Tamandua tetradactyla: one gene and its partner. The protein of the gene in region 1 interacts with the protein of each later gene in a pairwise test. Links are inferred from orthologs where the notes say so. Each region holds a gene or a part of one and is shown in the gene's direction. Other genes may lie near its edges.

The links.
Region 2: the proteins of TAX1BP1 (region 1) and MAP1LC3C interact in binary tests that used the Homo sapiens proteins (3 or more experiments, as listed by UniProt). The link is inferred for Tamandua tetradactyla from reciprocal best matches to the Homo sapiens genes TAX1BP1 and MAP1LC3C.

The regions. Positions count from the first base shown.
Region 1 is NC_135327.1:95,379,616-95,395,698, reverse strand, and holds the start of TAX1BP1 (tax1-binding protein 1), read left to right. Parts: upstream 1-10,148; 5' UTR 10,149-10,299; intron 10,300-16,083.
Region 2 is NC_135333.1:13,052,067-13,068,195, forward strand, and holds MAP1LC3C (microtubule-associated protein 1 light chain 3 gamma), read left to right. Parts: upstream 1-7,932; 5' UTR 7,933-8,024; coding exon 8,025-8,082; intron 8,083-8,195; coding exon 8,196-8,251; intron 8,252-8,430; coding exon 8,431-8,537; intron 8,538-11,342; coding exon 11,343-11,595; 3' UTR 11,596-12,187; downstream 12,188-16,129.

The DNA.
Region 1 (16,083 bases):
GCCTTGCTGGAAATCTGCTCTTTAGGGCTCCCAGGAAAGTTGTTAATGGGGGAAGTATCTCACTGGAGGCACTCTGCATAAAACTGCCTAGAGGAAGATGCTGGTGAGAAAGTGTTATTATCCTCCAATCTCACCAGGATTAGGGAACTGGAAATCAACCACCCCCCACCCCTCTGCCACGTGGCCACAAACCACCTCCACCACACACACACTGCAGGAGGAAATTGGGGAAGCTGCATGTGCTACATGAGTCTGAGGTCACACACAAATACAAAGAAACCAAGAAGCTTATTCCTTCCCTCTTGCAATGTCTCTCCAGCACCTACTACTGATAAGCTTAATATTATGCCAGTTAGTGAAGGAAAATATTTAAAGGATCCAGATGCATTTTCATAGAGCAGGCAAAAAGGATGGATTTGGAGCCAAGGGGCAATAAATGATAGCTGGTACAAAAATCATTCCCAAATTCCCTTCCTACCAATTGTTAGGACCCCTCAAAAGTGCTTTAATGTTTTATGAAGTAGTCTGGGTATTGATCAAGTAAATGACTGAACTCTCCAATCATGCACAAAATTCAAATTTCTTTCCATGGAACTCTTGAATCCCAGGCAAATATGGGATGAGGTCAGACACAGATTTAGCATTCAAGGGAAGTGCATGAATATTAAAGTGGATTTTCCAGTCCAGAACACATTGTACTCTTAATGCATCCTGTTCTGGTGTGATAGGGGCGCCATCCAAATGAAGTGGGGTGAAGGATGGGTGGTGGTCTAGTTTTCTAGCTTCTGGAATGCAATATACCAGAAACAGAATGGCTTTTAAAAAGGGGAATGTATTAAGTTGCAAGTCCACAGTTCTAAGGCCGTGAAAATGTCCCAACTAAAGCAAGCCTATAGAAAGGTCCAATCTAAGGCATCCAGGGAAAAATACTTTGGTTCAAAGAGGCTGGTGATGTTCAGGGTTTCTCTCTCAACTGGAAAGGCATATGGTAAACATGGCTGAGTCTGCTAGCTTTCTCTCCAGGCTTCCTGTTTCATGAAGTTCCCCCAGGGGCGTTTCCTTCTTCATCTCCAAAGGTCTCTGGCTGCCGGAATCTGTGGCTCTTTCCAGAATGGTTCCCTCTTAAAGGGCTCCAGTAAGCAACCCCACCCTGAATGGGTAGAGACACACCACCATGGAAATCATCTAATCAAAAGTTACCACCCACAATTGGCTGGGTCACATTGATTACCATGGGTTACCAAAAGACTCCCACCCAGCAATATTGAATGAGGATTCAAGGACTTTCTTTCTGGGATCCACAAATTCAAACCACCACAGGTGGGAAATAACAGAGGGGAATATATACAATTCTTTCTAGAAATGAGAAGTTTGGTTGTAAACGTGACAAAACATAGCAGCTAAAGGAAATATGGAGTTGGCAAAGTTTTAAGAAATTAAGTGAAATTAACATGAAAGCCTGTTAAAGAATAGTGGTAGAGGGCTTGAATAAAATAGAGATAATGTAGAAGAGGATGGGATCTTGGAAATAAAACACACTTTAGACTAAAATTTTGAATCAAACTTTGTAAAAATTAAAACTTTAAAAGTTCTTTTCCAGATTCTACAAGGTTCCCATGCACTAGGGTAACTTTCCAGAAAACTGCAACTTCCAGATGGGTCCCTGGACCAGGTAAGTTGTGAAACCTAGAGGGCCCAACTTCTCCAGGACATCAGCTAGATCCATCTCCCTACCCCATATTATTATTATTTTTTTTTGACTTTTTTTTTTTTATTAATTAAAAAAAGAATTAACAAAACAATTAGAAATCATTCCAATCTACATGTACAATCAGTAATTCTTAATAACATCACATAGCTGCATATTCATCATTTCTTAGTACATTTGCATCGATTTAGAAAAAGAAATAAAAAGACAACAGAATAAGAATTAAAACAATAATAGAAAGAAAAACAAACAAAAACAAAAAACCTATACCTCACATGCAGCTTCATTCAGTGTTTTAACATAATTGCATTACAATTGGGTAGTATTGTGCTGTCCATTTCTGAGTTTTTATATCCAGTCCCGTTGTACAGTCTGTATCCCTTCATCTCCAATTATCCCTTCTCTTTTTTTTTTTTTTTAATTAACGGAAAAAAAGAAATTAACCCAACATTTAGAGATCATACCATTCTACACATGCAATCATTAATTCTTAACATCATCACATAGATGCATGATCATCATTTCTTAGTACATTTGCATTGGTTTAGAAGAACTAGCAACATAACCGAAAAAGATATAGAATGTTAATATAGAGAAAAAAATAAAAGTAATAATAGTAAAATCAAAACAAAACAAAACAAAACAAAACAAAAACCTATAGCTCAGATGCAGCTTCATTCAGTGTTTTAACATGATTACTTTACAATTAGGTATTATTGTGCTGTCCATTTTTGAGTTTTTGTATCTAGTCCTGTTGCACAGTCTGTATCCCTTCAGCTTCAATTACCCATTGTCTTACCCTGTTTCTAACTCCTGCTGAACTCTGTTACCAATGACATATTTCAAGTTTATTCTCGAATGACCGTTCACATCAGTGGGACCATACAGTATTTGTCCTTTAGTTTTTGGCTGGATTCACTCAGCATAATATTCTCTAGGTCCATCCATGTTATTACATGGTTCATAAGTTTATCTTGTCTTAAAGCTGCATAATATTCCATCGTATGTATATACCACAGTTTGTTTAGCCACTCTTCTGTTGATGGAGATTTTGGCTGTTTCCATCTCTTTGCAATTGTAAATAATGCTGCTATAAACATTGGTGTGCAAATGTCCGTTTGTGTCTTTGCCCTTAAGTCCTTTGAGTAGATACCTAGCAATGGTATTGCTGGGTCGTATGGCAATTCTATATTCAGCTTTTTGAGGAACCGCCAAACTGCCTTCCACAGTGGTTGCGCCCTTTGACATTCCCACCAACAGTGGATAAGTGTGCCTCTTTCTCCGCATCCTCTCCAGCACTTGTCATTTTCTGTTTTGTTGATAATGGCCATTCTGGTGGGTGTGAGATGATATCTCATTGTGGTTTTGATTTGCATTTCTCTAATGGCCAGGGACATTGAGCATCTCTTCATGTGCCTCTTGGCCATCCGTATTTCCTCTTCTGAGAGGTGTCTGTTCAAGTCTTTTTCCCATTTTGTAATTGGGTTGGCTGTCTTTTTGTTGTTGAGATGAACAATCTCTTTATAAATTCTGGATACTAGACCTTTATCTGATATATCATTTCCAAATATTGTCTCCCATTGTGAAGGCTGTCTTTCTACTTTCTTGATGAAGTTCTTTGATGCACAAAAGTGTTTAATTTTGAGGAGTTCCCATTTATTTATTTCCTTCTTCAGTGCTCTTGCTTTAGGTTTAAGGTCCATAAAACCGCCTCCAGTTGTAAGATCCATAAGATATCTCCATACCTACCCCATATTATTGACAGCCCCTTCCAACATGAAAAAGTTAGAATGGGCATAGCCCAAATACCCCTAAAGAGTGGGGTAAAAGATCAAAGGTGATGGTGGAGTTATACAGAGAAGATAGGGTTTAACAAATGAGTATGACTGCTGAATCATTATATTGATATTTCTTTTAGTCTCCAGTATCTTAGAGCATCTACAAGTAAAAACCTAAAATTGTGGAATTGCAACCCATACCAAACTCTGAATTCTGTTCTACAACTAATTGTGCTGTGCTTTGAAATTTATTGCTTTTTTGTATATATGTTATTTTTCACATGTTAAAAAAGAGGAAAAGAAAGTCGATTGTGATGATAAAAAATATTTACTCCTTTTAGCGTCCAATGTTCTAGAGCAGCTAGAAGGAAAAATCTGAGAGGATAGTATCATAGCCCACGACAAACTTTGGAATCTGTCCTGTAACTACTTGTTGAAAAGTGCTTTGAAAACTATTGCTTTTTTCTTTCTTTGCTTTGTATATATGTTATATTATGCAAAAAGTTTTTTAAAAATTCCTTTTAATAACATTTTATTTAAGTAATTTTTATTAACTTTGATTACCACTGATATGCAAGTGACTCAAAAAATAATAAAGGCATTTAATGAGAAACACTAAGAGGAAAGAAGCTTTGTGAGATAAGTACTTTAATAATTTAAAAATACTGTGCTGGCTATTTTTCTTAGTAAAATAAAGAAGAGAGATTAGAAAATATTTACATTCCAGTGACTTCTCAGTTGTACAAGGAACACTGTAAGGAGCTAGGTGGGGCAAAGGTCTTATTAAAGTATATATTAAAGTATAAAGTAAGTTCTGCTTCTTATTACCATACATTATTGCCTCTTTCTTTGATCGTGGAAGAAATTCCTCAAGACACTCCATTTCAACTTCAAAGTTTTTGTTTAATATTCCTAAACATAACCTTTATTGGTAAAGCATATAATGACCACAGTGTTAATAAAGCATGTTTGTTATAGGAAATTACACTTAAACTGCAAGTTAGAAAGTCAAGGTAGTTTCGGATACTGGAAATAATATTGACGAAGTAGATGTTTTAGTTTCTTGGACGCTAAAACAAGTACTATACAATGGGTTGCCCTAAAACAGCAATTTATTGTCTCAAGGGTTTAGAGGCTAGAAAGCGTATCTCTTCCCCAGGTAGGTATCTTCTGGCTGGTAGGCAATTTTTGGATTTCTTGGGTTCTCCATCACATGGCAAAAAAACAAAGTGGCATCTTTTTCTTTCTCTTCCCAGTTCCATTGACTTCCAGTTTCTTTCTTCTCCCATGGCTTCTCCTTCTGTGTCCAGTTTCCTCTGCTTCTAAGGATTTAAGTCACATTGGAGAAAGGCCCATTCTCATATAGTTTGGGCACACCTTAACTAATAACATCTACAAAAGTTCTGTTTACAAATGAGTTCACAGCTATAGGACCAGGCGTTGGGACCTCAACATCCCTTTTATGGAGGACATGATTCAATCCCCAACAATAGTCCATGGATCTTAAGTTGGGTAATCAGGAAGATTTTAAAGGAGGAAGTTTAATGAATTAAAATCCTGATGAGTTTGAGAAACAGTTGTTTCTGTTTCTATTTGGGTATAGTTGAATAAGTGAGTTAGAAAAATAGGAGATTATAGTCAAGGAGTAGGATGCTTGATTATTTTTTTAAGCAATTAGAAAATGTATTGAATACACATGTGAGAAGACATGTAGGCACTCGAGCAAGAAAAGAAAGTTGAAAGGTGAGAGAGGCGAGAGGCAACAGGCAATGTGGGGCCATTTGCTTTTGCAGATTAGCTTTACTTACAACCCTTCTCCCTTCCTGGTTTTGGGCTCTTTCTCCTACCCTCTCTTCTCTCCAGGGCAGTAGTTGTTGGTAGATAGTGAATTTGGGCGAGTCTGTTGGCTCCATCCTTCTTCATGGATGACTCACTCAAGTGGGGTTATCTGGCTCTAGGAGAGTCAGTTGCCACTGGGCGTTTCCTGTAAGGGGTAGCTGCAGGCAGGTTGTCTGTGTAGGACACTGGTCCTCCTGATCTTGATTTACCATCATTGCTTGAGGGCTCCATGCAGGGTTTTCCCCCTCCCTTCTCTCTCACCTTAATCTTTTTTTTTTTTTAAAGATTAGAAATTTTATTTTTTACTAAAATAAATAAGATTATTAAATTTTAAGGTGAGACAGTTCTCACCTTAATCTTTTTTTTTTTTTTAAAGATTAGAAATTTTATTAAAGCAGAAAAGCATCCTACACAAATGGGAAAAGAAAAAGAAGCTGAAACACACAGGTAGGCTATATTTTATATCATTAATAAAACACTTTCTGAAATTGTTACAATTAAGTTGTGATATTAGAGTGGTCTTTAGGAATAAAGAGCTCATTGTTTTTTTAAAACCATTTTTATTGTAAAATATAACATATATACACAGCAAAGAAAGAAAAAATTATTTTCAAGGCACACTTCAACAAGTAGTTACTGAACAAATCCCAGAGTTTGTCATGGGCTACCATTCCCTCATCTCAGATTTTTCCTTTTAGCTACTTTAGACACTGGAAGCTAGAAGGAATATTAATATAGTGATTCAGCAGTCATACTCATTTGTTAAATCCTATTCTCTTCGCTATACCTCCTCCTTCTCCTTTGGTCCTTCTCCCAATCTATACGAATCTTTGGGCAATACGTATTCTGACTTTTTCATCCTGAAATGATGGTGGGGGGTGGGGAGCGGCACACTAAAGGATATTGCCTCTTAATCTTAAGGGTTGCTGAAGGATGAGGGTCTGTCTTCTATAGCTGCTCTGACTTTTCATGGGGTGTAGGCCCTGCCTGATAGGCATAAAACTTTCTACTTCATTTAAGTTGAGAGGGAAGGTATCCAGAGGGGAAGTTGGAACAGCTGAAAATCTTCTCATCAGCATTAGTTTGGTGTAGGATGCTTGATTTTGAAGGTGGAACAGTTATGGTCCAAGGTACAAACAGGAATATAGGTATCTGGAGTGGAGTGGAGATCACTGAAGACAAGGGATTCAAGAAATAAAAAGGCCAGGGTGTTGGAACGTTCATCCTGAAGGGCCTGGAATGAAGAATAAGACTGTTCATAAGGTGATAGTCTTCCATAAATGAGGACAAGTGCTGTGGAGATCAGCAGATGATAGCAACAAGAAGGGAAAAGGTGAATAAAACTGAATCGTGTTAATCAAAGAAGCAACCTTCTACCAGCATCTGGGAGAGTAGTGGCTAATAAACTATAAGGAACAAGGAGTACATCCATACCCTCTCCTAACACACGAGTAAGAGAAAATAAATAACCTTGTTTATAGTGACTTCTCTATCAAAAGCCTACCATTATTCAAATCCCATCCTTAAAAGTGCTTTTTCCCTAGGGTGGTGCAACAGTGGCTCAGTGGCAAAATTCTTGCCTGCTATGCTGGAGACCCGGGTTTGATTTCCAGAGCCTGCCCATGGCAAAAGAAAAAAAAAAAAAAAAGGTGCTTTTTTCTAAATATGTTTTACTTTAAAAGGAAAGAATCATTTGTAGCAAAAGGAATCTTTAATACAAACTCAAAGGGAAACCTCTGATCTAAAAAATGAAAACAACTCATTTTACTTGGCTTTTAAAACCTATAATATTTCTATAACAGGCCCATTGGAATTAGTTTCTAATTTTTAACCCATGCTGTACCACTTATTTGCCTCATTTGTGCCCTTCTAATAACATTATCCACCCTCCCACTACCCAGCAAGCCTTTTCTCCACCTTTTCAAATTCTGTTAATATTTCAAAGTTTAGAGTCCAGTCTTTTTTAAATTGTCAGTAATTCCCAAATAATTCTGCATCAATCTTTCTACTTTACTTCTTGCAGTCCATTTCCTATACATTTAACACTTAATGACATCATCTTGTATTATCAGAGAGGTATCTGGTAGCTTTGAGTAAGAAACCATGCTTTATTTTTTGTTTTCCTCAAGCACCTAGCACAAGTTGAGACCACACAGTGTGATTTTTTTGGAGGTTTTATGGACCCCAGAAAAGATCATGTTCTTAAAGCGACTCTGTTTCTGTGGGTATAGAACTATTGTGGTTGGGACCTTTGATTAGGTTATTTCAGTTGAGGTATGCCCCACGTGGGTCTTAATTAATAGTCTTAGTGGAGCCCCTTATAAAAGCATGAAAGAGGAAAGAGAGAGAGAGCTGAGAGAGAAAAACACACGAAAGCTGAGAAACAAAGCCACAGACAGAGAAGTCAGAAGCTTAAAGAAAAGAAACCCAGAAGAGAAATGAGAGACCAGCAGAACTGCCATGTGCCTTACATGCTGGCCGAGATGCTGAGAATTGCCAGTAGCCTGTCGTCAGAGTCCAGGTATCATCCTGATGATGCCTTGATTGGGACATTTTCATGGTCTTAGAACTGTAAATTTCGAAGTTAATGAATCCCCATTGTAAAACCAACTCATTTCTAGTAGAGCGCATTTTGGCAACTTTAGCAAACCAAACAGAAAGTAAATGACCAAAAAAGCACTCATCAAGAAGCATCAGAGCATAGTAGGAAATGCATGAACTTTGGAGTCACAAAAATGAGTTCCAGTCTGGGTAACCCATTCTGTGATCACTGGCAAGTTATATAACCTTTCTGAGCTCCACTCCACTGCAATGCTAATGCCTACCTTTCAGGGCTGCTGCAAGGAATGGAGACGATATAAGTCAAATTTCAAGCACAGTGCTTGGAAAGCACTATATGTTTCATAAATGGGAATTATTATTTTTTGTTAACTCTCCTCTAACTCCTATGCCCATCATAATTGGGAAGTCTTCCTCCTCCTATCACCTCATCAAATCCCTGCCTAACTTTAACAGTGTAGGCCTGCTTCCTCTATGAAAAGTACACTGCTCACACAAGCTTGTAATGATTCTCCTACCTCTGAAGCATTTTATTTCTACTTTAGTCACCTAGGTTTTCATGGATTAATTTCTTTTCTTCCCTTTACTATCATGAGTTCCTATAAGAGAGGAACTGTTCCTATAGATATGGTCAGCTATTTTCCTAATCAAAACACACAATAGGTAGTTTGAAACAGGTCAGGACAACAGGCTAGAAACTACTTGAAACTGTAATTACTCCAGAAAAATTGATTGATACCTTTTCCAATAATTTTTTTAACAGGTCGACAATTCTTATTCACAATTTTGAAATCCAAAAAGCTCTGAAAATCAAATGTTTCTTCACTAGACAAAATTTGCTGTGGCCTGAACTCATTTGTCAAGAAAACTTGATCTAATTTGAATACATGGTGGTAAAGTTGTAAAACCTGATCTGAACAACTGGAACTGAAGGCAGACTATTTACAGTCTTAATTTATCCTTAGTTGATACTTACAATTTTCACAGAAAAATCATTAATTTGATTATGAGGTGTTGCCTCTAGACCCTGTAGGAGTGTCACATAATGCGAAATATACCTTTCTAAAGCCTGAAAAATTCTGAATTACACCTGGCCCAAGACTTTCACATAAGAATTGTGGCCCCATGTCTCTTATAGTCACTAGCACACTGCCCTACTTGTTAACAGGCTAATTAAAAAAATTCACCTAAATATTGTGAGGCTATGTATTTATTTTGATGGGAGAAACATGGTCTAAAAATTCAAGGACTTGTTATTAAAAGGAATAAAGCAAAGTAAAGTAGCTAAACAAATACTTCATGGGGAAAACAAGGTCTAAAATTGTTTAGACATTATTATTAAAAACAACAAAACAAAACAAAAATTCCTTCACAAAAGTGTTGTTTTGAATTGTGGTTTTTATTAAGTATATTGGTTTCTGGTTTCATGAACTGAAAATGGGTAATAGAAAATTTATTACATGCAAATACATAATGTGTATGTTTTCTATTTAGCAGATGCTTCAACGTTTAATGCGGTCTAATTTGTCATCCTCTCTTCGTTGGTGATACTGTACACTGTTTCAGTGTTTATGGAAATAAATACAGGAATATGATGAGTACCGACAGGCACACTTGCTTCCGCGGAGTTAGGATTCAATCTGAGTGCCTACTATAGGAAGGGAAGATAAAAGTTTAAAAAGCGATTAAAGGACATCATATAAGGCAATTATAATTTAACAAAACATAGGAAAAAATTCGCACACAAAATAATACAGATAACAAAAACAGTTTACTACAGAAATGTGGGCGTTAAGAGGCCAGTGGAGCTAGAGAAATAGCTCCTCGGAGAAAGGGAGCGCTTAACAAAACTTGGTAGTTCAAGAAACAGGAGCAGGGGTTGAGGGAGAGCCACAGGGGTTATAGCCCTAGATGTGCGGTCGCTCTCTTCACCTCTGTCATTCTCTCTCTCCTTATCTATAAGTGAATTAGTTTAGACAGAGTTTTAAGATCCAGGCAATAACTCACATACCTCTGGGTAACCCTTTATTTCGCTAACTTAATTTTCCAGTATGTTTCCCCACTTCGCATATTAAAACACTAATTAAAAAAAACCCGCAAATGCTAAAAACGGAGCCTGATTTTCTGAAGTGAACCTCTGAACGAAAGTTGTAAAACCGAGAACCGAGGCCGAGCAGCCCTGCAGGCTGAAACAGCTGGCTCCGCTTCGAAGCATGGCGGCCGGACGTACCGCGCAGCAGCGGAAGGAACGGCCTCGTGGGCGGAAGTGATGTCACGCCGGCTCTGGGCTTTGAGGAGAAGTGTTGTTAGTCTGTAGAGGGAGGTGTTGTTGGCGGAAGAGGTTCGGCCCCTGATGGCGTCTCTGGCTCGGAAGCTTCTGTAACTTTCCTCCTCTGCCCGGGAGTCCCTCAGTAGGTAAGCCCTTCTCCGTCCGCTCCAGCGACTTTTGCGGGGGCAGACTCCAGCTGGAACCCCTTTGGGACTCGCGATACGCCCCTCAGCCCCTGCAGGCTAGGGGCCTGGCAGCTTTCAGGGAACTGGTTCTCTGTGATGACGATGCTTTTCTTCCCGGGAACAAACATTTTTCTGTTGGACTGTGATTGTGACGGGGTGTGTGAGCGATTTCGATTAGCAGTGGAGTTGGAAAAGCGTTGAGTGGCCGCCCTCCACGGCGGGGGAGGCCAGCGTACAGGCCTTGGGACTTGGGACGTGGGCCCTTTGGTCGGGACAAGTGACTTGTGCGGCTCTTGGAGAAAAAAATATGCTGTCCAAGGATCAACTCTAGGATGACGCTGTGTTGAGGGCTTGTGTGTGCTACCGGTATCGGTAAGCTTGGGATAACATCTAAGTCAGGTCTGGGATGGACGCCGCCTTTGATTCGGCAGAGACTCGCGAATTTGTTTTTAGTCACCCGTGGATCAGGAGGCGGAGACTCCCCCTGTACCGCCCACGCGGTAGGGCCGCGGGCGGGGTTAGCTGTTCGGTCCGGATCTACTTCACCTGGACTACAGAATTTCGAAATCTGCTTATGAATTCCCCCACCCCTCATCTCCCAGTACTCGAAGAGATAAATAAATAAAAAAAAAGTCTTTAGAGGACAGTCACATCTTCCTTTGACTAGTCAAAGTTTTCTTTGTTTTCACAACTCTCCTTCCTTCCCCCGCGGGTGGTGAACAAGTCCCGACCGTGTCTTAAGAGTTCCGGAGCTATGCTTTCTCGAGTCCACTGTTAGAGCTTAGCTGGTATGTGGGTGTTTGTCTACATCACCCTGTTAATAAATTATATTACACCCTTTTGGTCTAAAGGTGGGCTGCTTGCCCTCAAAGCCCTTTTCGGCTATAGAGAAGGGGTTGAGGCCAGACTTGCTTTCGATGTTTTTATCTGAACTTGTAGACTGATTTCTTGAAGGATTACTTAATTACACTAAATTTGACTTAAGGTTTTTTTTTTCCCAATGTGGTTCTCAGATGTCAAAGAACATCCTATTCTAGACATCACAGTTGTGTAGAGTTATCCAGTAAATACTCTCCCCGTAACAAAAGTAACAGGTATTTTGAAACTCTTTAAGTTCGGTCTTTTAAATAATGTTAAATAGTTTTGAGGATCCTAACAGTGCTCCTTCATTACCTGTTTGGGGGAATTACTCAGATGTGGAGTGTATTAGATTGTATTCTTTTGGAATTTGGATATTACTAAGTAAAACTTGGGATTTATGCACTTTTTGCTCATTAAAGCTTATTTTGGGCCAAATCTTTAGTAAAAAATAGAAAGTCCCTCCTCTCAAGTATATGTGGGGCATTCGTAGCATTTTAGAAACTAACTTTAAAAAAAATTTTTAAAAGTAAATATAACTGGTGTTCGGGACACATGGGCAGAGTGTAATGACACTCAGCTGTAAAGGATTCTGGAAATGGGGAATCTGCAGGAATGCGGTTTGGCAGATGGAGTAGTGAGCTATAAACCAGTTGATACTCTGTATGCATTCAAATATTGAAATATTATCAAAGTGTCAGACATTTCCCACCTTTTTAGATGTTTTTGTGTCCTGTAGAACTGAAATTTTGACGTAATTTTAAAGGTTCATAATTTCCAAACCCGAGATTCTCAAAGCTTTCGCTAATTTTGTCAATGACTACCTGAATCACAGTGCTTCTGAGGACACACAGAAAAAACACATACAGAAGGAGAGCTAAAAATAATATAGATTAACATTTTGCTAGTCTTGTTCTGTTACCCCCTCCAACCATTTATTTTCCCCTCTCCTGGAGTTTGTAAAGCAAATCCCACTCATAAGGACAGTTCTCTTATAATTAGTTTAGCATCTCTAATTGGTGAGGATTTGATATATCAAATTACCACAATCTCGTTATCAGACCTAACAAAATTACCTTACTGCTTCTTTAGTCCTAATTGTTGGGACTGAAATTATAGAAAATATTTATTTAAGTTAAAAAACTTAATTTGACTTTATATGTTTAATGCACAGAGGTTCTCAAGTCTGTTTTCAACATTAGTTGACTAAGGCTTGCATGTTTTGGTTAGTCAGGTAAAATAATTATCAGAAACCACAGTGAGGGGGAACAAAACCTGCCACAAAAGCCAGATCTATTTTGGGCTTGAAATATTTGAAAGAGAAGCAAGTAAAACAACCTTGAAATGTTACCCGTGACTCCAAAATTTATTTTAGAGACTACTGCATATTACTTTTTTTTAAGGATTGATGAGTTCTCAGAATAACAAAATTTAATTTTAGACTAAAGACTTTTATAATACCTAGTTTGTGGCCTAACACAGCTGAAGGAATTCTAGAGGTGTTAGGACTTGAGGAAATATAGTAAGTCCTGGACGAGGACACTGTAGCCGCATATATATATATGCATTTCAGATTTTATTTCCCAGCCAAATGTATCTGTTCCTTTAATTCTTAACTGGATTTTTTTTCTTTTTACTTATCTGTGGCTTGCCGCTGTAATCTACTCATGTGTCTGAAGAGGTACTTTACAGAATAGGAAGCAAAATTTGGTATGCTCTATTTCCTTTGTAGATAGGAGCTATATTTCCTTTTTCAAACTGAGGTGCAGCTCGCATTTTTTTCTCAGGATGCTGGGGATGCTACACTTCCCAAGGATTACCACAAGGTGATGCATAGACTTTGCACATTACTTCTTCACTGGTTCTGGATGTGCGTGTTGATGTGTATAGTGTAGTGTATAAATCTACCTGGGGCTCATCATCTTTTTTTTGCATGGGCAAGCATTGGGAAACGAACCCAGGTCTCTGCATGGCAGGTGAGAACTCTGCCTGCTGAGCAAGTGTGGCCCGCTGGCACTCATCTTAATATCCAGTATTTTTAGTGAATTCCAGCGTTTTTATCAGCTTGCCCATTTCTCTGTTCTACTTACTCTGTGTGGACAGAGTGAACCAAAAGAACTGTGTGAGAATTTTAATTTTGCTGTTTAAAATGGTTTGATTCATTTTGTAGTTACATTCGTATTGTATTCATCCATGTTAACTTTTTAGTGACTAGAAGTAGTAGTGAAATTTAATAAAAAGAGTAAAAAATAAAGTGATGATAAACATGGATTGACTTGTGAGATATTTCTGTAATTTTATATTGAATTTTTTTAAAAGATTGGACTGTTGGAATGGGATTAATGAAGATTTTTAATAGGATGATCACAGATTATCTTATTCCTCAGACATATAAATGCCATGAATCTATTTTAAGTTTGATGTTAGTTTTCTGTCAAAAATTGAAATTTGGGGGAGGGCTTAAAAAGGAAATTTCATGTTCATATGGATGTTTAAAGCAATGAAAATAGATTTCTGTGTATTGGTAGAAATTCAGACAATAAATAGAGTTAAAAGTGAAAGTCCTTAAATGTGTTGAAAAAAAGGTGAAAGTCCTCTTAAGTTCTGTTTTCAGACATATCCTATCCTCCATAAGTAAAGATTTTTTAACTGTGTACTGCTTCAGTCCCTTTTAGTGCATTTATATACATATATGCTCATATACCATATGTGAAAATATGTATGTGTGTGTATATATATATATGTATGTGTACACCTGCATGCTATTTTATGCTCAAAAATCTTTTCAATGAAGTTAAAAGTGTGAGGTTGGGTTATGGATTTAAAAAAAAAAACTTTTAATTGAAATTAAACAGAAGTTTAAATTCTACTGAATTGTTTTATAAACAAATCATTACAGCTTTGTTGATTTAGCTTATGTAAAAAAACATGTTTGATTTTAAGAAAAAAGTTTTGTAACACTTTTAATTAACAACATGGGAAACTTATTCTAAGGGAGCCTTATTTTCTCCTTGCTGAATATCTTCCTTAGAGAAACCTAAATAGTCACTTTCTTCATAGGAAAATATTACTGATTCGCTTGAATTATTTTAAGTAGTTTTACCTTATAGAGATTGGTTCAACTGGTTTAGCTATTGATTGGGCTGATTTAGCTATAGCTTTTCTTTTTGGTAACTTGTAGCCAATTCTTTTACTGAAAGAAACAATGAAATAAAACTCTTCAGTTATTTTGATCAGAGTTCCCAGTCTTTGGAAATGCTGCCTTTTCATTTCTCTGAAGTCTTTAGACTACCAGATGTAGGAATATTGACATTTAAGTCCTTTTATTAAATAGGGTTGCTGATAGTAAAGCTCTTTGTTAGTGCAAAGGACTGCTACTGAATGCCCTCTCTTAACACCTCGGACTCCTGACATACCTCAGGATTCTGGCGAAACTTGGGTGAGAGAGGTGAAATGAAAGAGACTTGCTGAACTACCCTTATGGCTACCAGGTTCGCTACTGTCAGGTCAGGTTCTTTATGGAGTGTCCAGCCTATTGTTCTTGTAAAGCAGTACTATGACCAAAAGAGAAGCAGAAAGGATACAAGAAGAGGAATGGATATATTCCAAAGTAGTGTTTCAAAATTTAAGAAACTTGCCTTTATTTCAAAACAGGTCAGCAGAAGAAATAATTGTGCAAGCAAACTGTCTTAGGTCTTCTTAGCAATAAAGGCTTCTTAATTGCTAAAATATGAGTAAGTGTTTTACTGTTGTGCTTGCCCTGTAGAAAATTCATTGATTTGTTAAGTAAATTAGATTAATTTGTTTAACGAAAATCTTGTTACCACTTTCCCCCATTATTATGGAGATTTCTGTTTTGATGGCTCAGAAGCAAATGCCATAGGGTCAGTGTCATAATTCTTATGTGTACGGTAGCATCAGGGGTTATGCTGAGCCTGTGACATAATTCGTAGTTTGCCTTTTTGAGTAAATCCCCCAGTTATTTTCTTTTTCTCAAAATTAGAGCAAAAACTATGGAAAACATTTGGGTCTTCCAGTTTTTTATTGCCCACTGGCACCATTCATCAATCCGGTTCTTGGTGTTCACTAACTACAACAGGTTTTCAAAAGAATGTATTTCATTGATGTTGTATATCTGTTTTGCTTTAAAATTTTTTAAAAAGATTTTTATTCAGTACATACATGGAAAAGGTACACGAATACTGGAAGTCAACCTGGAATGAAAGGGTAGAATTGGGGTAGATAGAGAGAAACAATTAGGCTGAGCTATTTTAAGCAGACCAGCTGAGGTTTTTCATGATTTGAGAGAGTTGAACAAAGTTTTACCAAAGGCCAAGAAGACAATCTGGAATTTGTGGAAATGAGTGAGAGGTGGTAGTAGAGACTTAAGTTGATCTGGGTCAGAGTCTAAGTTGTGGCTCTATTTTGGCTGTACATAGGATTAGGATTAATTGAGGAAATTAAAAAAAAAAATAACAACAACTATGCCTACGCCCCATTCCTAGAAAAGTCATCTTTTTTGTTTGCTTTTTGAAGGCTTCCCCAGTGATTCTAATCTGTAGCCAGAGTTGAGGGCGCTGGTCCAGAGAATCGGGAACCCAGGGCAAAAAAGGCAGGTACAGAGCTATTGGTCAGCAGGTTAGAAGCAGGATGTTACAGGAGCCTAGAACCCAGGAAGAGGAGAGCGATTGGGTAGGCCAGATTAGGGAGGAAAACAATGAAGATCGAGGGTTCAGCATGGAAAGAAAAACTTAATTGACCTGTTTTTGTTTCTTTTTCATAATATCTGTAGCCAAGGGCTGGCAGGTTTTCGGTGACTGTTGGTGCTCTAAAACACCTTCAGTTCATTTGCTTTTAAAATGAACAGGTCTAGTCTTTGCAGGAGAG
Region 2 (16,129 bases), on another chromosome or scaffold:
TTCTAAAAGAGGGAGGACAAATGATGGGCTTTCTAGGACTGGCTGACAAAATTTTATTACTTGAGTGGCTTATGGGGTGTTTGCCTTTAGTAACTAAGCCATCTTATTTTAAAAGGCAAGGGGTCAGCCTTATAATAACAAGCCATATAGCTGTTTTGTGTGGTTTTACAATAATTTTTTTAAATGCTAGTAGTTCATCAAACTGAAGATGCTATTGATTGTAAAATACATCATTACTTTATGAACCATTGGAAAAAAGAAGAAACATCCATTATATTGACATGCCATCAACAGTAAGACACCCTATTTTTTTCTCAATGTTCAAATGAGTACCTTAGAATAAATGAAACACAGTAGATACTACAAATCTCAATCCTCATACACAAAATCAGGCAACAACCTTCCTCCCCAGTCAAAGACGAAGTTTTGGACAATTGTCTCTCGACAATTGACACCAGATGGGCTCTGATCTTAAAAGACATGAAGCGCAACTGAGGGAAAGGTAAGACTGCTTAAAAAAAGGAAGAAGTGACACTCTATAACAAACAGTATGAGTCCCAGTCCCATTTCAGTCCCATTCTTCTCTTTCTGGAATTCCAGTTACATGTGTTGGACAGTTTGAGTTCGTCCCGCAGTTCTCGGATGCTGTTATGTTTACCCCTGTTCCTTTTTTCTGTTTTACAGTTTGGGTAATTTCTATTAACTCATCTTCAAGTTTGCTGATTCTTTCCTTGACTGTCTTAAGTCTAGTGATGAGATCATGAGCCATTCTTCATCTCTCTGTTTTTTATGTCTAGCATTTTCATTTGACTCTTCCGGTTTCTCTATACTGACGTTTCCCATCCACTAAATCTCTCCCTAAACACATTGGTGTTTAACACTTGCTGATCGTTGTTTCAGGGAGGCAGAAGAAGTTGAAAGAACTCCAGATAGGAATCAGAAGACTTGTCTGAAATTCTGAGTGACCTCAGGTGAACCACTGAACTGTTCACGCCTTTGTTTTTCACAGTTAAACATGAGGGGTTGAAATTTCTGAAATTGCAACATCAAAATTCTGAGAATCAAACACACAGTAATCTTTTTGATTGATGGGTAACCATTTAAAGACTATTTCAAAAGTTCCACAAGAGGGCAGCTCCTCCACATCACTTAATTTTGGGAGGGAGGAAATAAAATCCAAGCACCTTTGAGTCTATAAAAATGCTTTCTTATACAATATTTTTATTTCTTTTAATTGTACAAGTAGAACACAATATATTCTCACTTAAATATTCCAGCATTACAGATGAATTTCAAAACACTTGTTAGTACCCTAATCCTAGTACCCTTCCATATTATCAATTTGATGAATATGTCTTTTCTATGCCGCTTTTTCTGTGACTTTTTAAAAACATGAGTTCTGCACTAATTTTTATAATCGCATAATTTTGCAATCTTCCTGTCAATATACATTAAAAAGCTTTAACCACTACCTTTAGTTCTATATAACGCATGTCATAATTAACTCTTAACTGATGACATTTAAATTATTTTCTATTGTCAGTGCTTCATTGACTATTTCAGTACAGTATTTTGAAAAAAGTGTTTAAAGCCAGACTTTTTTTCATAGCGATTCAGATTTTAAAGCTAATTTATTAACCCAAAATAGTAATGTTTTAGTAATTTCACTAGTCACAAAAATATATACGGTCAGGACACAGAAAAGAGATTAGAAGTGGGGAAGGTTGGCAGCCTTTCTTGGAAGTGTTAAGGTTTATTCCATTTTGTGATATTTATCATTCTAGGATTCCCCTCACTGTTAAAGGCATTTACCAAGCATGGTCTTAACTTAGATTGGATCAGACTTAGAGACAAATGGCCCAGTTACTGCAGAGAAGATGGAAACAAGGAATGATCACACGCTGCCTCCCCAGAGAGAGTAGGTTAACCTGTCAGCCACAGGAGGGAGCTGTTTTGGAAGCAGCCCCAGCCAACATCTTAACTAAAAGCTCATTAAAGACTCCGAGCCAGAACCAGCTAAGCTGCTCCTGAATTGCTTGCCACACAACCCATGAAATAATGTTTGTTGTTGTTTTAAGCTGCTGAGTTTAGGAATGATTTGTTATGCAAGAATAGATAGGTAATGCAACTAATATCTACGTTGTGAGCCTCTCTGGGTGAGGTCAGATGGCTGGGAAATCAGGTTGGGTAAATTCCCAAGGTCCCAGAACATCAGGTCACAGTGGCTGATCTGTGCCATATCCTCCTCCCAGCCTCAAATATTCTAAAAATGCCATTTTCTAAGGGCCCACAGGGCCAAGGGCCAGGTGTTTTCAGGAGCACATTCTAATTAATGTAATAGATGCTGAAAAGCAAGAACTTTCTCAGTGTTTTAGGAAAATGGGCTTGGAACTCCCTTTGCAACTAATTCCACCAAAGCTTGCTACCTTCTCTAACCAGTTTACCAATGTTTTTCAGGTCCGCATTAGGTTTACTTTTTTCCCTTCCTACCTTCCTGTGTCTAAGGGATTAGTACAAGCCCATGAACAGCCTCAATGTCAGAACATGCTTTTTAATCCCCATGGATAAGATACAAACACTGCCAAAGTTGACTCATAACAGGAGAGCTGGGGCTTATGACAGCTGACGGTGGGAGTTCTGAGGCAGGCACTTAAATCCTTTAACTTGGCAACCCAAAGGAGCTGGGGGTGGCGCGCTCACCTTCACTCTGGGATGCTATGGTTTTATTTCTAAAAAAGTCATTCTGTGATGACATTTGGGAAGTGGGCAATTAGGCTTCAGGTTTGGAGGGATTAGAGGGAACGATTTCCACTTTGAAATGAACTCTGAAGATCCAAACAGTGGGTGCGACAGAGGATCTGGTCATTTAAGAATTGTTGAGGTAAAGAGACTGCTAGAGAAATCTCAGAAAATATTCTCCCTAAGATTACAAGGTTCCCCCCGCAATTTATTAATTTAAAAGTCAAGAATGGAACACATTAAGTTATAATGGAATAAACATAGCTTTTGGTGTTGTATAGACATGAGTTCAAATCACACCAGCTGTGGGATCCAGAGCATGTTATTTTGCATCTCCAAGCTCAGAAGGAATAATTCGGAAAATATGTATAGTATTTAACATGGTGTCAAGCACACTTAATAATTCCTCCCTTTTTTCCAATGAAGGATAATAATAATGGCAATGTTAATAAGTTAAGTCTTTTGTCCAGTTCAACCTTAGACTTTCATGGCAGCTTGAAAACCAACAACCTTGTCTTGTCCAAAGGCTCTAGGGAACCTCTTTGAACCTCAAGTTCTTCACCAACAAAATGGTAGAAATAATAACTTACACTTATAGGGTGGTATGTGCCCCACGCACTGTTGTAAATTTTTTTTTACATATATTAACAAACCCACTGGATGCAGCAGCCCACTAAGGTAGTTTTTTGTTTTGTTTCATTTCGTTTTTTCATTCTACACATGAGGTAACTGGTAGAGAGAAGAGTGTATCAATGGGCCAAAGTTCACTTAGCTAGTAGGTGATAGAACCAGAGTTCAAACCTGAACAGTCTAATTCTAGTGCCTACACTTTGTGCGTGTGCTTGAGGGGTGGATTTTAAATGTGAAACCAATAAAGACTGTAGGAGTTGCCTGGGAAATTATCTTTGCTTCCTTATTTCACACCTCCCCCAAACTATTCCTATGTTTAAGGTACATCAGTGGCAGGAGAGTGGAAGTTAGCTGTCACTCTAAGCACTTTTAAGTCGGAGGCAATTAAGAGCAAGCATGCCTTTGCCGCCCATTTTCACATCTGACATGCTGGAAACAAAGGACTTTGAAATAAACAGAATAGCGCATCTGAAACAGCACGTATGCCTGAATTTCTTTTGGAGTAGAACCAAACAAGAGAATCTTCCTGTTTGCATTGGGCCATTATGAGGATGAGAATAAAGCTTTATGTTTAGCAACTGAGTTTGGGGTATATTTCTCGCATTAGCATAGCTTCGTCCATCCTAACTAATAGTTATTAAATGGCAGTGATCATTATTTTTCTCAAATAAAAGACATAAAACCTTGGAAGGAAAATTTCATGATGTAGATATGAAAAATGTAGGATTCACTCTTCTTGAGCAATCACAATGACATTAGGAGAACTCAGAGCTTTTTAAAGGATTAAATGATAAACTGGGTGAGTATGAATAGGAAAGAGTTAAGAGGTCCAAAAAGGGAAAAGAAAGGGACCCCCAAGCCATGCATCTTTACGGAAGACTTGCCCGGGCCCTTCCTGGGTTCCAGCACCCAGACAAGCTGACTGCGTGGTGTAGAGCTGTATAATCGACTCAGCTCTGGGAGGGGCATGGAATTCTTTGCAGAAGAAAAGGAAATGTCCTCATATAGACTATGGTGGTGAGGGCATGGCCCTGTGATTATACCAGGAACCACTGATTTTTTATTTCGGTTGGATTGTACGATATGTGAATAAAACTGTTTAAAAATGAACAGAGAGAAACAAGTGCTGGAGAACATGTGGAGAAAGAGATGGATCTATTCACTGTCTGTAGGGATCTGAGAGGTGCAGCCCCCTGGAGGGGAGTGTGGTGATTCCACAGGAGACTAGGGGTGTCATTGCCATAGGATGCTGAAACCCCATTGCTCAGTATATACCTGGAGGAACTGAGTGTGCGGACAGGAATGGACATTTGCACACTGGTGTTTATGGCGGCAGTGTTCCTGTTCATGACTCGCAATGAATGGAGCTGGCCTAAGAGTACAATGACTGAGGAATGGAAGGGGAAACTATGTTGTATAATACAATGACAACAGACTACTGAGAGCTGCAAGAAGGAATGAAGGTGTGAGGCATGCAACTAGGTGAATGACCCTTAAGGACAGTATGTTGAATGAAATGTCAGAAACGAAAAGATAAATATTATTATACCTCACTCATATGAACTAACTATAATATACAAACTCAGAGAAATGAAATCAAGAGCATAGGGCATCAGGTTAAGACCTATTATAAAGGTTCCTAAATTGTAAGTTCTTATAGCAGTCACATCTATTCCAGAGTTGTAACTGTTATTTCTGAATTCTAAGATGCTGAACTCTCTGTATATAACCTGGTCATTACCTGGAACTTTGGGTATTTGTGTGACAACTGAGTCTCAGAGAGCCCTGAAGCTATGAAAGTCAGCATTATCCCACACAGAAACTGTTGAAAAAGTGATCAGACTTCAACTAGAAATATGAGTGAAGCTGACCTGGATAGGACTAAGGTACATCAGAGTGCAGGGTAAAGGATGATATGGTTTATATATTAAAACCTCAACTTCTGTGTGAGACAAAAGAAAGAGAAGGAAGAGGTTTATATTTTCTGTCACACAGTATCTAATTTAACTTGTGCATTCAAACACCACAATTACATGGAATCTTGAATAGGGCATGAGAGCTTGTTGGTTTGTAAAGAACAGTGCGATCTACCAATACATCCCAGAGTAATTTGGCAGAGAATAAAAAAGTATTTGCAAAGCCCCCTTGGGGAGCTGGGGAGAAAGGAGGAAATATTAAACTTCTCCACCTGGGGAATTCCTGATATCCTTGCAAGCATTGAGGACTACCAATTTAATAGGCTGAGCCTTCGATCTTGGGCTTTGACCCTATAAAAATTATTTCTCCAAAGGAGAGCTTAAGCTAATTATAACTATGTCTAACAGTCCCCCAGAGACCTCTTTTGTTACTCAGATATGGCCTTTCTCTCTAAGCCAACTCCGCAGATGAACTCACTGCCCTCCCCACTATGTGCGACATGACTCCCAGGGGTGTAAATCTCCCTGGCAATGTGGGACATGAGTCCTGGGGATGAGGCAGGACCTGTCATCATGGAATTGAGAAAGCCTTCTGGACCAAAGGGGGAAGAGAGATATGAAACAAAATAAAGTTTCAGTGGCTGAGAGATTTCAGAGTCAAGAGGTTATCCTGGAGGTTATTTTTATACATTATATAGATATCCCTTTTTAGTGTATGGTGTATTGGAGTGGCTAGAGGGAAGTACCTGAAAGTGTGAACTGTGTTCCAGTAGCCTTAATTCTTGAAGAAGATTGTATAATGATATAACTCTTACAATGTGACTGTGTGATTTTGAAAACATTATAGCTAACACTCCCTTTATCAAGGGTATGGACAGATGAGTAAAATAATATAGATAAGAAATAAATAATCAATATGGGGGATGAAAGGTCAAATAAATTGGTAGATGGAAATACTAACGATCAATGAGAGAGCGGGGTTAGGAGTATGATATGTCTGAGTTTTTTTCTTTTTTCTCTTTATTTTTCTGGAGTGTTGCAAATTATCTAAAAATGATCATGGTGATAAATACACAACCATGTGATGATATTGTGACCCCTGATGGTATACTTTGGATGGATGTTGTGATGGGTGAAGATTTCTCAATAAAAATATTTTGAGTAAATACAATAAAACAACTCAACTTACTTCCCCAACTCACTCCACAGGGCCTAGACAGAGTCAAGGAAGGACACGACTATGCTGAAATGGCCTTAGAATCTGGAGGCCTGCTAAGAAACCCTTCTGACTGCTGAGACCAAGTTCTCTCTCCTCATTGTCTCACTCAAGGCCTCAGGGTGGGCTTGGCAACCATTACTCCGGCTTTGTTGGCAGAAGGAAAGGCAAAACTTAAAAAATAGAGACTTAAATAGTTGTGTAAACAACAGTAATAGCCTACTTCTTTTTTGTTCTGTCACTCAGCCAGTCTGGAGAATGTTTGATCATTTCCTTCTGTATCATCATCAGTCTGAAGACTCTTTCAGTGTCAGATGACTCGGTCTGGAATGGTCCCAGCGAAGGCCAATGACTTCTCAGGAGCACAACCAACAATGGAGGAGATGCAAATGGTTCAGTCTATTCTCCATTCAGGATGGGGCTGGGCCTGGAAATACGAAGGGACCACTGTGCTCTTGGATGTGAAGTGAGTGGGTGATCAGCTTCGATAGCAATATCATTTTCCAGAAGGGGAAGCTGGGTCCCTAAAACCATAATTTCCATTTAAAAGAATGATCTCATGGAAAGCATCCTGGACGGCAAGCAGAACTGTCTTTAACTATCTGTTTAATCCCAGGTAAATAAGTTCATTTTTGTGGCTCGTGGTTGCATCTATTTTTTAAAGGCGAGATCTTAATATGATAACTGTCCTGCTCACATTCTTGGAACTGCAGAAATATGACAAAATATGTTGGGCAATTGCAGAGGGGAATATTACTTTGACACACATTAGATCTCAACCCTAATTTCACATCTTCTTATTTGTGCGACCTTGGGCAGATCACTCAACATTTATGAGTATCTATTTTTTACTGTGAAAAACAGCAGCACATTTCAGGGTAAGGTGGAAGAATCTTAGATTACCTTCATTGCTTTAGTGTTAAATGTCCACACTTGCCATGGAAACAGCCTAACCAAAAGGTCCTACCCACAATAGTTCTGTCCCCACAAGAATGGATTAAAGGAACGTAGGTTTTTGGGCGGCACATAACAGATTCAAACCAGCACACTCCACCCTTTGGAACCCCAAAAGAAGTATTCTTTCCATATGCAAAGTACATTCTTTGCATCACAGTATCACAAAGGCTTAACTCACTAAAAAGTTTAATAAAAAAATAATAACAACAATAATAAATGTCCTTACTTAAGGCTATTTCTATCCAGGACCAATGCACTACGTTGTAAACCTTGATTTCCTTAGTAAAGACAAATTCTTAATTAGTTATGAGCAAAGTGACTTTCTCTGACTAACAAGCATGCAAATTCCATTTCCATCCTCAGAACCTACCTCCCTCCTGCCTGGATAGGGGGTGGGAAAAGGGGAGGGAAGGAGAAGTCTGATATCACACAGCCCTATGTAAGGGCTTCCTCAGGTTCCTGCAGGCAGTTTGGAAGCAGCTAGAGGAATGAGTTAGGTCCTGGTCCTGGGCTTTTCTTTTCTTTCTTTCTTTTCTTTTTTTAATCAGACAGACACAGCTGTAAAAATGCAGCCTCCACAGAAAAGCCCAAGCCCCAGACCTTTCAAGCAGAGGAAGAGCTTAGGTAAAGTTCTGGGGGTGTCTTTTTAGATTCCAAATCTTAAGAAAGGGAAAATTTTTAAAATGCAGACTTCTCTTACATGCTTATATATTCCTTTGCACTTACAATTTTCACAGCAACCAGAAGAGAGGAAGTTGCTGGAATCCGGGCAAAGTTCCCAAGCAAGATTCCGGTAAGACTCGTGTTTTCCTGGGGGTGGGAGTGGGGTGGTAGGGGGGCCTGTGATTCTGTTCTTTGTAAAAACAAAAACCACTCAACAACCTCCTTCTCTCTGTTCCAAGTTCCTAAGAACACTGAGTCACAGTCTTAGGCACTTGTTTCAGGAAAGATTCATGCTGAGACATTTGACAGGTGGTAGTGGAGCGCTATCCCAGGGAGAAGTTCCTGCCCCTCCTGGACAAAACCAAGTTCCTGGTCCCACAGGAGCTGACCGTGACTCAGTTCCTCAGCGTCCTTCGGTAGGTGATGAATCCTGCGGGAGGTGGCAGCTGTGGATGTCTCTGGGCTTTGGGGAGAGTGGGGGTCTGGCAGAGGGAGACAGGAAAGAGTTCTGCTTCACCTTTTCCTTTAATTATACTTTTAAAAAGGGTGAGCTTGGGTGAACGGGTGGTTCACTGGTAGAATGCTCACCTTACATGCAGGAGATCTGGGATCGATTCACAAACCATGCACCGTGCCCACCCCCTGCAAAACAAGGCGAGCTCATGCATCCCCTATTTTAAACAGAAAAGAAATACCTTGCTAATAACCCTCAGTGAGAGGTCCCAGTGTTGACGTAAGAGCTGTTTTCTCTTTTATTTCAACTTTTACTGAGACCCTATTTTAATTGCTACCTTCAAATGTCTCTAATGACTTTTCAAAGGAGACTTGTTTCTGAAACTAGTTGAAGAAACCCTCCGTTGTCAGGTATTTTGGGGGCCCAGCAGTCAGCATTTTGCCCTCATTAGTTCTCTTTCTTTGCTCCCCTGATGGCAGTGAGGGGTTGGGTTTTGTGCATCTGCTAGGATCACCGAGCACAGGAAGCAAGTACCTTCTGCTCCTGCACGGCTTTCTCCCTCTCAGGAGAAGGAAGGGCAAAGCAAAGGAAATGTTGCTGATTTTAAACATAAAACTTATGGGATTTCAGTTGGTGCCTGTCAGCTAGACTCAATAAATACGATTTGGAACTAAAGCCCGTTGACTGGTGGGGGGGAGGGGGGCGGCCGTCAGCATGGCTGGTGTGTGTGTGTCTCCCTGAGGCGGAAATAACCTCTCGGAGGTTTTAGCTGATGCAGGCATTTTCTCCAGAGCACTTACTATGATTTTTTTATGAGCTCTTTTAGAACGCCCAGAGTTTTCCTCAGATCTGCTAAGGGTTGTTTAGGTGAATCTGGTGGAAACTGAAGGCAGCTATGGGAGAACCAAAATCAGGATTAGATCGTTGGGCACCATTCCCCCCTTTCCTCCATGTAGGGCCACCTACAGTCTTCACGCACTCCCCATTCTCCATCCCAGAGATTTCAAATTTCTACTTTAATTCCTTCAAAAATAGTTGACACGCAGCACGCACTATATATCAGGCTATTTATATTCTATGCTCTGGGTATGGGACAGTGAACAAAACAGACAAAATTCCTGCCCTAAACATCTTCTAAGCCACAGAGTTCTCCCTCTTGGGGACCTCTCGACGTTAAAAGGATAACCTAATAGGAGATGGAAGGAAAAGAAGGTCAAATTTCTTGACAAGAAGGGTATCCTTTGAGAACCAACTGCCGACCTCCTCTTCAGCTCTGTCCTTTCTACAGAACAGATGTTTGGTCATCCCAGGAGGACAATGCAATTGTCAGGACTCAGTCTCTGGGTCTGCCAGCATCAAGTAACTGGCCTGGCACCTTTCAGCTGGGCCCAGGAGGGCACCGGCCATGGCTCTTAAACAACGTAGGGTGAGGCGGGTTGGCTGTTGAGGAGGATGGGTGGAAAAAGAGACATTTAGCCATCACCAATAGATGTAACTTGCCATGATGCCAAAACAATGATTCAGAGCTCTTAGCATGCCCAACCAAATGTGGCTGCTCCTTTGTCACCTTAATCCAAGGGAGAAGTTGTTCTAAATGCCCCCCGCCCCTGCCCCGAAGCTGTTTAAGTGATAGGTTATGTGGCATTACTGGAGAATTCTTCACTTTAGATTCATAGCAAACAGAGGCCTACTTACTTAGCTTTTTTTTTTTTTTTTTCCTTTTGCATGGGCAGGCACCGGGAATCGAACCCGGGTCTCCAGCATGGCAGGTGAGAACTCTGCCTGCTGAGCCACCATGGCCTGCCCTTGCTTAGCATTTTTAACCTGTATGTATTTTTTCTAGTAAATGAAGACATGGCCTTGCACTTCGGGCCCAACTGAGAGTCCCAGGGCATTTGAAATCTTCCGGGAAGTATAGTGAATCTTTTGGCCAATTTCTAATAACTATTTTGTTGCCCCAGTAATACTACAGAGAAGGCCATTTAGGCAGGTCCTTTAATTTTTTCTACACTTTGGTTTTTTTATCTATAAAGTAGGGAATCAAATGAGACAAGGGCTGAGGTTTTGTTAAAAAAGTTAAGTGGTGGGGGGTGCAAAGGTGGATCAGTGGTAGAATTCTCGCCTGCCATGGGGAGACCTGGGTTCAATTCCTGGACCAGGCACTTCCCAAGCAAACAAAGAAACAAACAAAAAATTTAACAAATGGTGCTGCAATAACGGGATACTCACATGGAAAAAGAACGAACTGTGGCCCCACCATACTGAGTACAAAAAAAAGAAAGTTAAGTGGTGGACAGATATAAACTACCGTTTCAGCAAGGATGGTGCAGGCAGGCATATAGGTAGAAATGGCAGTTTGAGAGACTTCAGGCAGCGGTGGGGCAGCAGGGGTGCTGCCTGTGTCTCTTGAGCAATGGTTCTCAACGTGAGGTGCACTTACTTCACAATCACACAGATGCCTAGGCTGCTTCCCAGATCAATTCAATTTAAATCTGTGGGGGTGGAGGGGGTGGGGGAGGTGGGGGGGGTACTGGATCCCAGGAATCTGCATTTTCAACAGGTCTCTCCTGGATGATTCTAAAGTGTGAGGACCACAGCCCTAGATTGGGGAAGGGAGGGCATCTGGGTAGAAGCTTACATTGGACAAAAACTGAGCTACACCTTCAGATCAGAGGCCCATTCCCTGCCAGATTAACTTCTTTCCTTTCTGCCATCTCCCCACCCCACACCTGTGCCCTCCCCTACCCACCTGCTCCCACCAACCCAGGAGCCGCCTGGTCCTAAGGGCCACTGAAGCCTTTTACGTGCTGGTGAACAATAGGAGCCTGGTCAGTACGAGTGTGACCATGGCCGAGATCTACAGGGACCACAAGGACAAGGACGGCTTCGTGTACATGACCTACGCCTCCCAGGAGATGTTCGGTGGCTTGGGGTGGACAGCCATCAGGGACCGGCGCCTCTTGGGAACAGGGCTGCCAGCCTCTCAGGCTCCGGTCAAGAAGAAGTTGTCTTCTAACTGATGCAGATGGGACTGGCTGTTCCTGTGCGTGCGGTGGAAGGGTCGAGGAAAACGAGTATGACCTGGAGAGACAGCCCCATCAAACGACACTGAAGCCACCGGTCGTTTCTGGCTTGGTTTCTCTTTTCATGAGCCCTGTCACTGGAAGAAGCTCCCATTGCTCATGGAAATTTTGTAAATGGTGATTCTTTTTGTCTGAATAAGCAATGGTGGATTTGTGTGATGATGTTGCATGATGCGCTGGAGTTATCTTTAAAACGTCTTCGGTGGTGGAGGTAGGGCAGAGCCTTGGGGAATCCGAGTTCACTGTCTCCTGGAGGTGTCACTTCTGTGGGTCAGTGTACAGAGAATGCCTGCTCGGTGGTCTCTCTGGAAGCCGGTGCAGACAGTGCAACCACATTAAAGCTTATCCGGGTGTGGTCTTATCTGTGTCATTAAAGAGACTCTTGTTACATTTCCATAGTACTCACTCAGTTATTTCCTATTATATTCTTTTTTGTCTATGCCAGCATTATGACTTCTTGATTTTAAATAATTTAAATTAATAGTCTTTTTTTAAGATAAGAATCTTTAAAATAGTAGTCAGCATTTAAGTTCTTTTTATAGACCAGGCTTTATTCAAATACTCTACATGTGTTTATTCCTCATGACTCTTCTATATGTTAAGTACTATAATCCCCATTTTAAAATGAGAAAATTAGGTCAATGAAAGGTCAAGAAACTCACCCAAGGTCCCAACTAGATTTTGAAATCAAGCCCCAAACCCCTTTGCTAGTCTTCCTTTCTAACGCAGAAGTTTCTTCACTTGGTGGGAACCGAATATGCTTGAATTGAAACTGAGTTACTAGCTTAACAATTCGCAATGGGAAACAAAGAGTGTTCTAGTTTGCTAGCTGCCAGAATTCAATACACCAGAAACAGAACGGCTTTTAAAAGGAATTTATTAAGTTGCAAGTCCACATTTCTAAGACTGTGAAAATGTCCCAACTAAAGCAAGGCTATAGAAATGTTCAATCTAAGGCATCCAGGGAAAGATACCTTGGCTCAAGAAGGCCAATGACGTTCAGGGTCTTTCTCTCAACTGGAAAGGCACATGGCGAGCATGGTGGTGTCTGCTAGCTTTCTCTCTAGGCTTCTTGGTTCATGAAGCTCCCCTGGGACGTGTTCCTTCTGCATCTCCGAAGGTCTCTGGCTGCGCAGGGTCTGTAGCTCTTTCCAAAATGGTTGTCTCTTAAAGGGCTCCAGGAAGCAAATCCCGCTTTGAATGGGTGGAGACACACCTCCATGGAAATCATCTAATCAAAAGTTACCACCCACAATTAGATGGGTCACCTCTCCATGGATAATTTTAAAACTCCCACCCAGCAATACTGAATGAAGATTAAAGGATTTTCTGGGGTGCACAAATTCAAACCAGTACAGAGAGGGAGACACATAACTGCAGTAAAGCTTGGACATGTAAATCTAGTTTTGTGCAAAGGACATGATTTCACTGATAGGAAATAATTAGAATAAGCAAATTCATAGAGTCAGAGACTAGAATATAGGCTACCAGGGGCCAAGGTAGGGAGAGGGGATGGAGAGTTAATGCTTGATTGGTACAGAGTTTCTGTTTGGGGTGATGGAAACATTTTGGTAATGGATGGTAATGATGGTGGCACAATATTGTGAACACAACTCTGCACTGAATTATATGTTTGAATGTGGTTCAAGGGAGACTTTAGGTTGAATATATGTTATTGGAATTAAAAAAAAGCACATGGGACTTTACAACACAAACAGTAAACCCTAATGTAAACTACGAACCATAATTAACGGTACAATTATAATAATATTCTTTTATCAGTTGTAACAAGGAACCACACTAATGCAAGCTGTTAATGCCGAGGTATATGGGAACTCTGTATTTTCTGCATGATTTTTCTATAAACCTACAACTCCTCTAGTAAAAAATGTTATATTTTAAGAATTATATTAAAAATAGAACTAGTTCTATGCCAAGAAGAGGAGAGCCCAAAGAAGGCAGAGTACCACTGTGTTCGGAGGGTTCACTCAGGAAAGACACACAGAGGAGTGCAGTTTGAGTTGGGTTTGGAGAAGGAAAAGAGTTTTCATGAGAAGAAATTCTTTTTTGTTGTTTTTGTTTTCACTTACAGCCAGTAAAGATTTATTACACATCTGTTGTGTGCCAGGCAAGAGCTACAGCAGTAAACAAGACAGAGAAGGGCCCAGTCTCATGGAACTGGCTCCAGTGAGGAAAGAATGAAAATACAGAGACTAGTAATAATGTAAAGAAACAATAAAACAGAGTTGGGAGCAGAGACAGTGAAGAAGACTCTACCTCGATGGTCAGGGAAGGCTTCTTGGAGGAGGTGGCTTTTGATCTGAGTCCATACCATGAGAAGAAGTCAGTTCTTTGTGATCTGGAGGAAGAGCCTGCAAATTGTGTAAGAAAGTGAACTATGTTTTTCAGTTTCCAATATTTTTATTGACGCTATTTCCTTCCATGCTTTTGGCTTTTCTGATTGGAGCAGGATATTTTCAATGGGCATAAATTAAAGTTTTAGCAAATATTTATTGTCATCTTCTTTCTTTCATTCTTTCTTCCAGACCCTGGGTCCCTATTGATATGGACTGGCCCCCTAGCTCAGAGAACAATTGTCCCTGATGATTCCTCCCCTTTTACATCCATTTTCCTTTTACTTTGATCATTTCTTCACCGTCTCCATGAAAATAACCTGGGCCAATTTCTGCTGAACAATGGAAAGATTACATTATCTTAAATTATTACACACTAAAAATGACAAAGATAAAAAGTATTGATCGAAAACAAACAAACAAACAATACGAAAGTATTGATCTGCCACTGGAGTGGAGGCGGGAATGACTAGAAGAGACAGGTGAAAACTTAGGGACAGAAGTGGGAAGATTCAGGAGAGGATGCCCAGGGAATACCCTGACATAGGGTGGTACAACAACGGTGGCTCAGTGACAGAATTCTCACCTGCCATGCCGGAAACCCAAGTGACATAAACTTAGTGACATAAAACAGGATTTATTCTTTCTCACGATATTCTGGCTTGGCGACGAGGTTCCTCAGCTGCTTTCACCTGGGCTCACGCAGGCAGCTATGTTGAGCTGGCAGGTGAAAGAGGCCCTGAATTCTGGCTGTTGGCCTGTGTCTTGGGACCACCCTCATTGCCACTCATCTTCCAACAGGCTAAACCAGCTCCTGAGATACAGTGATTTTAGGGTCATGTTCCAGGGAAGGCAATGGGGAAAATACAAGTCTAACTGTATTCTCCCAGGCTCTGGGTCTTGCCCAGTGTCATTTTGTTGCATTCTTTGGTCAAGCCCAGATTGAAGGGATGGGAAAATTGAAGCTTCTCCTTTCAAGAGGTATGTCTAAGGAGTCGTGGTCATATTTAATCTACACATACTCCTAATAAACAACCTAGCTTCTTCTCCATCAGCTGCATCTGACCCATTTTTTGTGATTTATTTCCACCAATAAATGAGTAATTTCTCACTGTCCACCCTTCCTTCCATGCCTTCCCCTAGTCCTCTGTCCCTCTGGCCAGGGTGGTGGGTATGGCTGATTCCAGGGGGATACCCTGCAATCTTTTGCCCTTTCTGTGGTCACTTAGTTAGCAGGAATCATTGTGCTCTCCCCTAGGAGGTTCACAGAGGTTTGGTCCTCGCTCAACTTCCTCAGATACCAAAGCTCATTAGGTTTCCACTTTAGAGGAAGTGTCTGCCCAGTATAGGTGCTTGGCTAGGAGTGACTGCTGGACATGAAAGTATTTCTAGCAGGGGGATCACCTATGGTGAAGGCGGCTGGTGTAGGTGTGAGGAAGTGTGCCAAAGCACTGCTATTGACTTGGAAATATTATGTGGTGCAAAATAAGCTGGGAACAAGGCAACATATATTGTATGGGTCTCTTTTAGAAAATACACATAAGAAACTTGGGGCCTAGATTGTAAGGTCTTATAGCAGTCACATTTAGTCCAGAGCTGTGGATGTTATTTCTAGATTTTGAGATGTTGTGCTATATATGTATAACCTGGTATCTCCCTGAAACTTTGGGTACCTGTGTGACAGCCAAGACTCAGAGCTGGAGTTCTGCAGCTCTGAAAGTCAGCATTGCTCCGTACAGCAACTGTTAAAGAAACTGAAAAAGAGATCAGGCTTCAATGAGAGATAAGAACAAAACCAATTGGGTCGGGACCAAGGTAAATCAGAATACAGCAGTAAGGATGACATTGCCTGTATTTTAAACTTTGCTTACTCTATGAGACCAAAGGAAGGGAGCTTGATTTTGCCCAAAACCTACATTTTCTGTAGCACATAACTTATTATGTTCCTACAGCAGATAAGTCCTGAAACCCAGTTTCTCTAAGACCATCAACTAGTTCCATCCCCCTATTCCATATTATTGACAATCCCTACCAAAAGGAAATGTTAGAAGGGATAGAGCCCAAATACCCCTAAAGACTGGGAGAAGCAGGTGTTATAACAGAGAAGAGAGGATTCA